Drosophila melanogaster: one gene and its partners. The protein of the gene in region 2 interacts with the protein of the main gene of each other region in a pairwise test. Each region holds a gene or a part of one and is shown on either strand. Other genes may lie near its edges. The genes, in order: Sas10, CG32461 and CG31910.

Region 1 (4,159 bases), on a different chromosome or scaffold from region 2:
ATGTAAGCGAATGATGTGTGCCTTCATGTTTAACCGAACCAACCAAAGCAAATGCATTTCACAACTCTTTCAGATCTCTGTGGCCATTTCAAACCCACCGCCGAGGGGCACATCAGCTGTCAAGCCAAGTGTGGCGCCCAAGCGACGTGTGCCCACCTCGCTTATACCCACGACTCTGGTGCGCCAAGAGGTGGCTGCCAAGAAGCTGCGCTTGCTTCTGCCCGAGCCGGGGGACATATCATCCACTTCGGCATCCGTCGACGTGGCCATCAAGCGCGAGGCTAATGGAGAGGAGCAAAAAGGAGATGTTCAAGAACGAGATGAGCAAAAAGGAGAGGAGCAAAAAGGAGAGGAGCAAAAAGGAGAGGAGCCAAAAGGAGAGGAGCAAAAAGGAGATGATCAAATAGGAGAGGAGCAAAGTGGAGTGGAGCAAAAGGGAGATGAGAAAAAAGAAGAGGAGATGCCAGCTGCTGTGCCCAAGTCAAACGATGACTTTCGCAAGCTATTTCTCAAGGATTAGGCGACAAATGCCGGCGGCTGAGCCCGGTGCCAGCGGCCATGGTTTAGTTTGTAAGACGAAGACGAAGATTTGGAGCATATATTTTTTTAGATTTAAGGCAACCTAAACAGACAAGGTTGGAGAACACTGTACAAAGAGAAAAACTGTTGTAAGACAATGATTTTTGTTTCGACTCATATAAATTGGTTTCTTGATGAACCAAGTGAAGAAAAATGTTTGTTTGTTTCGCATATGACAGCTAGTTGACTAATCCCCGGTGAGTCTTTGGATGAAATGGGTGTTTCAAGTGTACAAACATCGAGTTGATTAAAATGTAATGATCTTGGCGGATTTATTGGATAAAAACTAGGTGCGGAACTTGACGCTCTTCGTGACGCCGGCCTTGATGCCGGACAATTCGCCGCCGTAGCGCTGCAGCTCCTTGCGCACCGTGCGCACGGCTCCCTTGCGCCGGATGAGCGCCTTTCGGTATTTGCCGCGATGCTTAACGCGCGGATTGCGCAGCTCCTTTTTGCGGTGCGGCGTGAGGCCCTTGTTCTTGGCCATCTGATAGGTGATGCCGCGTCGCGCATCCTCCTCTTCCTCCTCCTCACCAGCCTCCTCTTGCAGATCCTTCTCCTTACTCTCAGCATCGTCATCGTCATCATTATCATCATCATCGGAGCTCACTGACGCCTGCTGGCCATCGTTGTACTTGTTGAGTATCTGCAGCTTAGCCTTGCGCTGTGCCACATCCAGCACGGTGAATGCATCGCCATCTTCAATCCTCTCCAGCAGCGCCTCCAGCTGCGGTCGAATGTATTCCTCGTAGCGCGGCTTAAGCTCCTCGATCAGATCCTTGAGTTGCACCAGCCGCCTAATCACCGGATGGGCCTTGACGTCGATGCGACGTGCCTTGAGCAGCAGATAGAAAGCCACATTGGAGCAGTAGGTGGTGAGCACGGTGTGGCAGAGTCCGGCATATTGCAGCGCCGGCACCATGGGCACATCGTGTTTGCGAACGTAGTTGAGCACCGGTTTCAATAGGTTCTTCACCTCGTCGAGATGCTGTTGAAAATCCTGGGTGAGAATGATGAACTCCGGCGACTCACTGTGCATCAGCTGTCGTCGCTCGCGTTCTGATAGGCCGGCCAGATCGCTGGTCACTTTGGTTATATGGCTCAGCTCGTTGTCATCACTGCTGCCTGCGGGCGCTGCTTCTACATTGTCCAGCTGGAAATCGGCCTCGCTCATGCGCTTGGCCAGACGCAGCTGGATCTTTTTGGCCTCCTCCTCCTCGGCGCGTGCCTGCTCCTCCTCCTGGGCATTGTAGCTGCTGTAGTCCTGGTCCACAAAGTCGGTGTTGTAGTACGTGCTCCGTTTGCTGCCCCAGTCCATGGTGTTGGGCAGATCGCGGTCATCGTCTTCGGCGCCCTCGATGTCACTGTCGCGCATCAGTTCCGCCACATCCTGCTGCTCCTCCTCGTCGTCGTCGTCGTCGTCGTCGTCATCATCACTGAAACCGAGCACTTCCTGGACGGGATCATGTGGCTTTTTGCGCTGCTTGCGCAGATCTTCGAGTATTTCGCGCTCCTCGTCATCGTACTCCTGGTCGGAGCCGCTCATCACGTAGTCGTCACCGTCGCTGTCCATTTGCTAGCTGCTCTCTGTGCGTTTAAATACAAATTAAAACTAAATTAAATCAAACACAACACGTGCGTAAACAAACGGCTCGATAACACGTTCGATAGCCGCCAATGACCGATTGGTGTGGTGGATTTCGCGGATGGCGCATTTGCCATCTCTAGCGTCTAGCTTACGGCGGTGATGCCACATGGGAAAAGTTCCACAATTGAAATTCAGTTAAAATCAGGATGCAAAGCAAGATGGACGTCAAAGAAGGAAGACTTCAAACTTTGCTCTCGAAATTGAGAAAAATTTCGGAAGAAGCCGAGGATAACAATGATGTGCCGCTCGATTTGCGCTGCCCCAGTGCCAAAATGCGGAATAACAAAGTGTTAGCCGATTTGAGTGACATGCTAAAAGTTGTCGAAGATGTACGTAAATTCAAATTACACATGTATGCTTAGTTAATACTAATAAGTAATTTCCTCTAAAAGATCGCTTTGGAGGAAAAAACTACCGATTCCAAGAAGCCGGCTAATTCTGAACAGCAGATCAATGGAACAATTGAATTAGCACTCGATTTGCGCCAGCCCAATGCCAAAATACGGCTTGTGATTTCCGATTCGAGTGACTTGCAAAAAGTTTTCGAAAAAGCACATGTGCGTCGAAATATATACATATATGTATTGTAGAAATTACTAATAAGTTTTTCGCCCCTTAAAAGATCGCTCTCGAGTTAAAAACAACCGATTCCAAGCCGACGGCTGAGACTGACGACCAGCACCATGTGCGAATTTTCGATAAGATGCTTTGCAACATCGTTGTGCCGCCGGATGTAGCCGATGTCCAGGTGAATGGAAAGCCATTGGAGCAGTTGTTAGCCACCGTGTCGGAGCGCCAGGCAATGAACAATCCTGGCCCAATGAAGATGCATGAACTGCACACCGGCAATGCTGACTTCATGAATAGCAATAGCCAAGTGGCAGAAGCTGCTGCGTCAGTGGAAACACTGCTAGCGTCGACATCGGACAACGATAGCGACAGCGATGGACTCGAATCAAAAACGACGGATGGTTACATTGTCAAGGAACTGATACCGTCGTTTTCCGATTTCCCGGATATCGGTGATGTTAGTTTGTGTGCACTGATGTATGGACTGCCCATGGATGCCGTTGGCATGCACTGGAAGCTGCCGCCGCAGCGTATCCAGGATATCTGCAAGGAGGACTCTATCTTCCCGATCATCATGAGCTGTGTGAGTGCGCTTTGGTCCCGTGCCAAGCAAAGAGACAGCTTTGAAATAGGAGTTCAATCTTTTTTTTTTTGTTTTTTTTTCTTGCGCAGGTGTTCTCTCCGTGTGAGTTCTGGTTCCACATTGTGCCACCGCAGTACGCCAAGAATCCTGTAGCCGAGATGACCATTGATCTAAAGTAAGCTACTAACTAAATCGATTGATTGACTGATTGATTGATAATATTGTTATTTAATGCCCATAGCTGGTTCTATCGCCATACGACGATCAGCAGCTACCGTGCCGAGTTGCCTAGCTATTTCTATAAAGAGGGCTACATATGCGCCGCCTACAGCGAGTGTGGCTGGCGACGTGCCATGGTGCTCGTCACCGCACCGTTGGACGCCCAATGTGTGAACATAGAGTATGTGGATCATGCCCTGTCTGTCACATTGGCACCGAACCATCTACGATTCCTCCCACTAAGCTTTGCGCGCACACCGCCATTGGTATTTCGCGGCAAAATGTCGCACGTACGCCCATTGGCCAATGGGTGGCCAAAAAATGGTATCACCGCATTCCAGCGCATGACATTCAATAGGGTATTGTATGCCCATGTCGGCGAACTGGATACCGCTCAGGGTATATTCTCTATGCGGCTATCGTATGATGAAACTTTTGTGCCCACCATCAACGATCTAATCGAGTCGCGGATCAAGTTGGAGTCCTGTTGCTATGCGCCCGAACTGCAGCCTTTTGGGATGGTCGAGCCGCTAATTATGCCGCTGCACGATTATGATGAT
Region 2 (3,252 bases):
GGATATACTAGACACTTCGAAAAGTAAGTAACTGGCAGAAGGAAGCGTTTCTAACTATATAATGAATATATATTCTTGGTCAGGATCAATAGACGATTCGAACTGGCCATGTCGGTCTGTATGATCGTTGCGATCTCATAAATCTATTGAGTTTAGATTAGACATGCTGTTTTCAGAGACAGCGCAAGCTTATTTCCAAATTTTGCAATGGCCACTCGAACGGCCACAAGCCGGCAAAAACTGTAATGCCCCTTTTACATGTCACTTTTTGAAAATGTTTTGAAGTTTTTTTATTTATGTTAATAATTTTTGATTTGCCAATAAACTTTTTGCCATGTCCACTCTTACGCGTACAAACCTTTCAAAACTTCCACGCCCACACTTTATAAATTGCTTTAATTTTTTTTTCGGCTTTTTGTTTGTCTTGCCATTTTCTATTGGTACACTTGGGCCACGCCCCTTCTAACACACACAAAATGGCCACAATTTTGAATCGGGAATCTCGACTATACCATACTCCTTTTTGTTTCTATTTGGCTTACAGTGTAAAAAAAGTGTAAAATCTTAATAATAAAACGCAATAATTACGTATTAAGCATTTTTTATTTGGTAATAAATATAAATTTAACTTTTCAGTTTTTAAAATCGCTGTCTTCTCATGTGTGAATATTACACGCTGTTATTGATCTTTTTTAAATTAAATTCGACTTTAACAGCTCCAAATAATTATTGTTTGTACGAGTTTTTCCATCTTCCGTTGTTTTACTATTACCGCGAATCTTCGAATAAGTGGCTGACTTGGTATGGTAAAGGTGTATCTTGCTTTCCGTACTTAAATCACCACAGGTGCGTTTCATGTATCCAGTGGCAGGTTTGCTTTCTTCCTTTGCATGACCAATGCATCTTCGGCTTATACCACAATCCTGGCCGACGCCTTTGCTGCGGGGAGTCTTATTGGAAGCACCTGTATAAATCTTAAGAGATCTGTTTGTGGCCGGGTAATGATTTGCGTGAAAGCCAACTCCAGTTGCACCGACCAAGTCTCCGAGACTTCCACGCAGTTGGCAAAGAATCTTGTCTTGCTTCACGCGAAGTTTGGCTGGCATGGAGAATTTTTCGCCCCGTATGGGACCAGTCGCATCTAGTCCTTTTGCTATTAATCGCTCCAAATCTTTTAACAGATTTTCCCTCTCGGAACCTGAAGCCAAGGATATTTGCCGCAGTCCGAACTGAACTTTGGCATAATGGGACGAGATTTTGAAAAGCGCCTCTTGCAACTGCTCCACTTCGCCTTCGAGCTGACACTCATATGGCGTCATAGTCCTGCTTATCATCCGACCTTCCGAGTCAAGTTCGGTGTAAAGTCGCTCCTCTTCAATTAATTCCGGTGAATTGGATTTTGTCCATCCGGATACAGCGACATTTTGCTCTTCACTATTAATACTACCCATGATCTGTGCAGACTCCTGAAAATTGACACTTTATATTTTCGAATAAAGCTAAGGAAATATATAAGCAATTTTATTTTGACAGTGAATGAATGAGTAGAATACTTACTGAACGTATTCCGTATATCAATTTTATAATAGTATTATGATGTAGCATGTTACTAGTGTCTCTAACAGCATTGACAACAGTACGCATTTAGTATTTATTTATTTAATATTTTTAGAGTAGAGCTCAGAATGGAAATGACAATCTTCAGAAAGAAATTTGGGCTGTGTCTTCGTCTGTTAAATATGCATGCTTAGTCCTAACTTTCAAGCTTTTAAAGTTCCGAGATCACATCGCTTATACGGTCGACAAACAGCCGTGCTCAAAAACATGACGGTCCATGGTAAAGATGTACTAAAAAAGAGGGAATGCTATAGACGACTTCCCCGACTAGAAGATACCCGTTACGCAGCGAGTGGAAATATGAACGAGAAATTTCATAATTTTTTGGGAACATTGGAGTTTGACGTGGCGATTTTGGTCGGTTTGTGGACGTAAGAATGGTCGTGGTAAAAAGTAGAAAAATCGGTAGAAACTTACAAGACTAATAAATTTATGAAAAACAACCCAAACATTTTTAAAAAGCGTGGCAGTTTTGGGCGGTTTTAGGGCGTTAGAGTGGGCGTGGCAACAAACTTGCTTTGCGTCTATGTCTCTCTCATATAGTTCCTGAGATCTCGACGTTCATACGGACGGACAGACAGACGGACAGATCCTGATCAAGAATATATATACATTATATTTATTCGGAAACGCTTCCTTCTACCTGTTACATATTTTTAACGAATCTACTGTACCCTTTTACTCTAGGAGTAACGGGTATTAAAATTGTATTACATAAAAAAATTTTGTATATAATAATTAATAACTAAAGAAAGGAATAACTAGCTACTGTGGCCATCGACTCGACTTACTATTAAATCGGTGGTTGTGTTAAATTTGGTGTATAACCTAACATTTGTTTAAGAAAGATAATATTTGGTTAAGATTATTTGATGTTAGGCTAACTAATATATTTGAGGGCGGGGTGGGACCGAAAAGATATGTTCTTAGGTTATGATGGTGTCTGCATTTATCTAGTATATAATATAATATATATAATATCTAATATATAGCTTGGTCGCCTTTCGACGTTGATATATTATTAAATTATATAATATAATATATATAATATCTAATATATAGCTTGGTCGCCTTTCGCCGTTGAGAATGTCCTTCCGTGTAAAGTGTGTGGGTCCGGTTTTTAGACGAGTAAGAATGGCAAATTCCCATCTGTTGCACGATTCTGTTGCTGAATTGTTTATATCAGTTTTCCAATTCGATGTCGGGCAATATCTTTTTGATGTTTTTTCCAGCTGTCCTGTTGCACTCCAGGTATAATTGTAGGGCACGGCGCGACCGGCTAGCTTTGCGGCTTTGTCGACTAACTCGTTTCCATTGATTCCTATACCGTGGGGCCCGTAATAGCTTAATTTTGCTAATATTTTTTGTGCACAGGTGACTAAATTCACATTAAAGTTTGTTGTTGTAGTAGAGGTTTTAGATTTCTTGCAGGGTGGACAGACTGTCACTGCAGATGATATGTCTTTCTTAAGTTCAAGAGTCAATTTAATCGATTGGCTACTGCTTCGGCGGTGAAAAGAGAGAAGTAGTGGGGAGTAGTCTACTACTACAAAGGTAGTTGATGTGTCGGACTTTGAGACGTTCGTGTAAAACCATTTCCGATCGGCGTATTTATGGGTAGCTAAACATTGTTGA
Region 3 (3,359 bases), on a different chromosome or scaffold from region 2:
TGCCACCTGCGGTCCTTTTGAATGCCATCCTCGGGATGTGACTTGTGCCTGACCGAATCGCATTTAACACGCTTCAGCTCAGCTCGTGAAACATCCTCGAACAAGTATTCTTGCTGGCGCTGCTGAAAGTTCAGGGGTGAATAAAACCATTGATAACAGAAGTGACCCTGCCTTCGTGGCCCTGCAACACATTATGCCCATGACAGTGTGGCAATTGAATAAAGGTCACTTTCGCAATGTCTCTGGGCCCTCATGTCAATTTAACTTTTCATTTTCAGATTAGCTCAAATCTATCTCTGTTTCGATCAGGTTCTCTATTTTACATTAGTAGACAGGGTTGCATTTAGAGTGGATAACGGTATTATAAAAGGACTCTTTGGATGAGTTGCTAAGCGGATAAATAACTTCATCTTGCACACGAGCGAGGTGCTGCATCCTCAGGCGGATTTCTCAAGCTGCTGACCCACTAAAGATCCGATGGGGGACCCGATCTAGCATCACCAGAAGGGCTTCTGTTCATTGGGAGCAGAGCCCCACAAATGTTAATGGGACACTCATTATTATTGATTAGTTGTTTAGTTGATGGACAGCTATCACTAGCCAATAAATCGAATTTCATTGAATAGGGCTTCTATTTATTGCACATTTTGGCTTGACTAGATGCGACTGACATACTTTAAATTTGCTATGTTTTGGTGGGAACACTTCAGCTTCAAGATGGGGCAGGTTGGAATCGGGTAGATACACTTGCAGTAGACAAATTGATTGTTAAGATACTCCTCAAACTCCTCCATGGCGGATTCGTTTTGGAGCAGATCGCGGTATTCCTCGACACTCTCCAGATTCACGGGATCCAGCTGATGCATGAAGCACTTGAGCTTCAGCACTGTTGCATACAAATAGTTGAATATGTCGACGGCCATGATCTTGTGGTACTTGATGCTTCTATGATGGCTATCGCCCATGATGAAGGGCGTTTCCTGGGCCTTGTCCAGCCTTTCGTAGGCGGCATAGAACTCCTTGCACTGCTGATTGATTTCCAACAGGGTGTTTTTCATTTTGTTGCTAAAAGAGAAGCGCAATGTAAATAATTTCGTAAGCCAAGTTGTATGCAACTCACTTTGAAGCTCGCAGCACTTCCAATTTTTCCTCATATTCATTGATAATGGCCTCCTCGGTGGACAAGGTGTACACTTCGGGATAGCGACAGCTCTGCTCTGAACTGATTAGAATCAGATATCGCTGGGTTAGCAGCCATATCCGTTCAACCAGTATCTTTTGGGCCTTCATTTCGCACTTGTATAGATTGTAGTATTCCTTATAACGCATCTCTAACTTGACAAGGAGACCCAGAACTTCTGCCTCAATCCCGTAGTGCTTCTTGAGCTGCTTGGTTAGATGCGGCTCCTCATCCTCCACCTTGTTTGATCTGTTATCCGATCTGCGCTCCAACTTGCCCGCCACTATGGGTTCCAACATCAATTCAACTCTGTGTTCCATTTTGTTTATAGACTACGTGTGTTGGGTGTGTGTGTGTGTGTGTGTGCTAACTGCCTGACTGTCTGAGAAAATCGTATAATGGATCGGCCTTCAAGGCAGACTAGATGATTTAGTCTCGGCTAATACTACCCATCCATTTGGGTGCTCATCTCTTTCGTCAGTGGCCTATTAGATCTCTAAGGTTAAACCAATTTGTTTGGCATCGGTCGAATGGGAATCCTCTGAGTATTGACGAAAAATCACTTTTAATTAAGATCAGTTGAAAAGATGAAGATTTATATTTCACTTAGGCCAATTTAAAAAAGATTTGTCTGCCAAAAACATGTACGTAAAAAAGAAATCAGCTTCGCAATCGATGAATAGCATGTGATAGTTAAATATAAATATACTAAATATAATATTTATACGATTGAAATCAGTCGGGCGGCAAAAAGGAGCTTTTGATTGATTCGATTTTCGAGCACTTTCGGCATTCGAATGCATTGGAACGGAAATCAAATTAGCCAAATACTGCAGTGCTGCTGATTTTTCCGAGAGCCAACCAACTTATATAGCGTACACACAGGAAAATCCGTTGGCATAGATTTCATGTTAAATGCGTAATTTTTCCGTATTCTTATTTCGTTGGGCATCATAAATGAAGTGCGAAGCCAATTGCCGGCAGTGAAACATTTAATATATCTGTTGCGATATGAAGGAAATTCGAACTCATGAGCAATGTTTGAGCAATGTTTCCAAACGATTTTTCAATATCACTCAAATAAACAATAGGAACATGCGAGTGCAGAGTGCGAAAAGTGTACGCGTATGAAATGCGCTCTAATTGGAAAAATGTGTCGGAAATATTGACGGCTGTCAAATGTAAATGGTAAGGCGAAAGGTAAATGTTTAAAAATATCTTCAAGTGAAATGTTATAGCCACAATGATCGTTCTAAAAACTTTCCAATCTGGCTTCTGCAATACTGCAATTTTGTCTCGAAACATTACATTTTTTTGTGAAAGAAAATATTACAAATAAATGTTCAACAAAATATCCACATTTCGCACATCACGACTGAGCGTTGTTTACGATTTCGGAATTTTTAATTGCCACAGCGGCACACGCGGCGTATGCGCGATATCTTGTTCGGTGTAATGTGTTTAGGCTATTTTGGATCAGACAAGTGCTTCTTGTGCGCCCTCAAGATGTGTTTTCTCAACACCAAATTGTTAATGTGCAATTAATTCTGGGCGAGAGGTTGCAAAATATTTTTGATTGTGTTCAATTAAGAGGCGAAGGTGCAATGAACCTTTCGCGATAATTGAAAAAAGGGAAACAAAATAATGCAGTCAACTAAGAGGGCCAAATTTGAAAAATGTATCGTTTTAGGTGCGTTTTTGTAGTTATTTGCACTAAGTGGGCTAATTAGGCTTATCAAGCTAATCAAATTAAGAATAAGGACGATTGGTTAATAGTATTAAAATGACATTAAGCTTTAATACACTTAAACCTAATTACACTTCACTTTGATTACTTTACCAATTTGAAAATAATTTCTTATTAAAATATGCACTTAATAATGCATCTCAGTGCTCTGGTGTGGTTTATATCATTCCTGCCATCCGCATCTTTCGCTTTCTACGCGTTGAGCCGTGGGACAAGGTCGTGCCGTCGGCTGTCGGCGCTAGAAATATTATGGCTAACCGAGAGATAAAGTATATATGTATCTGTATCTGTAGCTGTAGCTGTGCCGCACTGCACAGGTCTTTGCGGCCCACTGAGTCTGTGCCCCGTGCGTTTGTGACGCGCTTTTTGCCATTGACACGCAATAAAAATATGTGCTCGAAATTTTTAAAAACTCATAATAATCACATTAAA

What was found.
Region 1: the proteins of CG32461 (region 2) and Sas10 interact in a two-hybrid assay, tested with the Drosophila melanogaster proteins (one large-scale study listed by BioGRID).
Region 3: the proteins of CG32461 (region 2) and CG31910 interact in a two-hybrid assay, tested with the Drosophila melanogaster proteins (one large-scale study listed by BioGRID).

The regions. Positions count from the first base shown.
Region 1 is NC_004354.4:5,315,497-5,319,655, reverse strand, and holds Sas10 (something about silencing 10), read right to left. Parts: upstream 2,248-4,159; 5' UTR 2,153-2,247; coding exon 866-2,152; 3' UTR 585-865; downstream 1-584. Other genes in the region: Rnp4F (RNA-binding protein 4F), read left to right, coding at 1-2, 74-520; CG15930 (uncharacterized protein), read left to right, coding at 2,374-2,556, 2,620-2,784, 2,850-3,380, 3,470-3,555, 3,622-4,159. UniProt on the Drosophila melanogaster protein: Essential for gene silencing: has a role in the structure of silenced chromatin. May be involved in gene regulation during development. Binds RNA.
Region 2 is NT_037436.4:22,953,835-22,957,086, forward strand, and holds CG32461 (uncharacterized protein), read right to left. Parts: upstream 1,469-3,252; 5' UTR 1,452-1,468; coding exon 693-1,451; 3' UTR 587-692; downstream 1-586.
Region 3 is NT_033779.5:6,744,043-6,747,401, forward strand, and holds CG31910 (uncharacterized protein), read right to left. Parts: upstream 1,581-3,359; 5' UTR 1,501-1,580; coding exon 1,121-1,500; intron 1,066-1,120; coding exon 657-1,065; 3' UTR 621-656; downstream 1-620.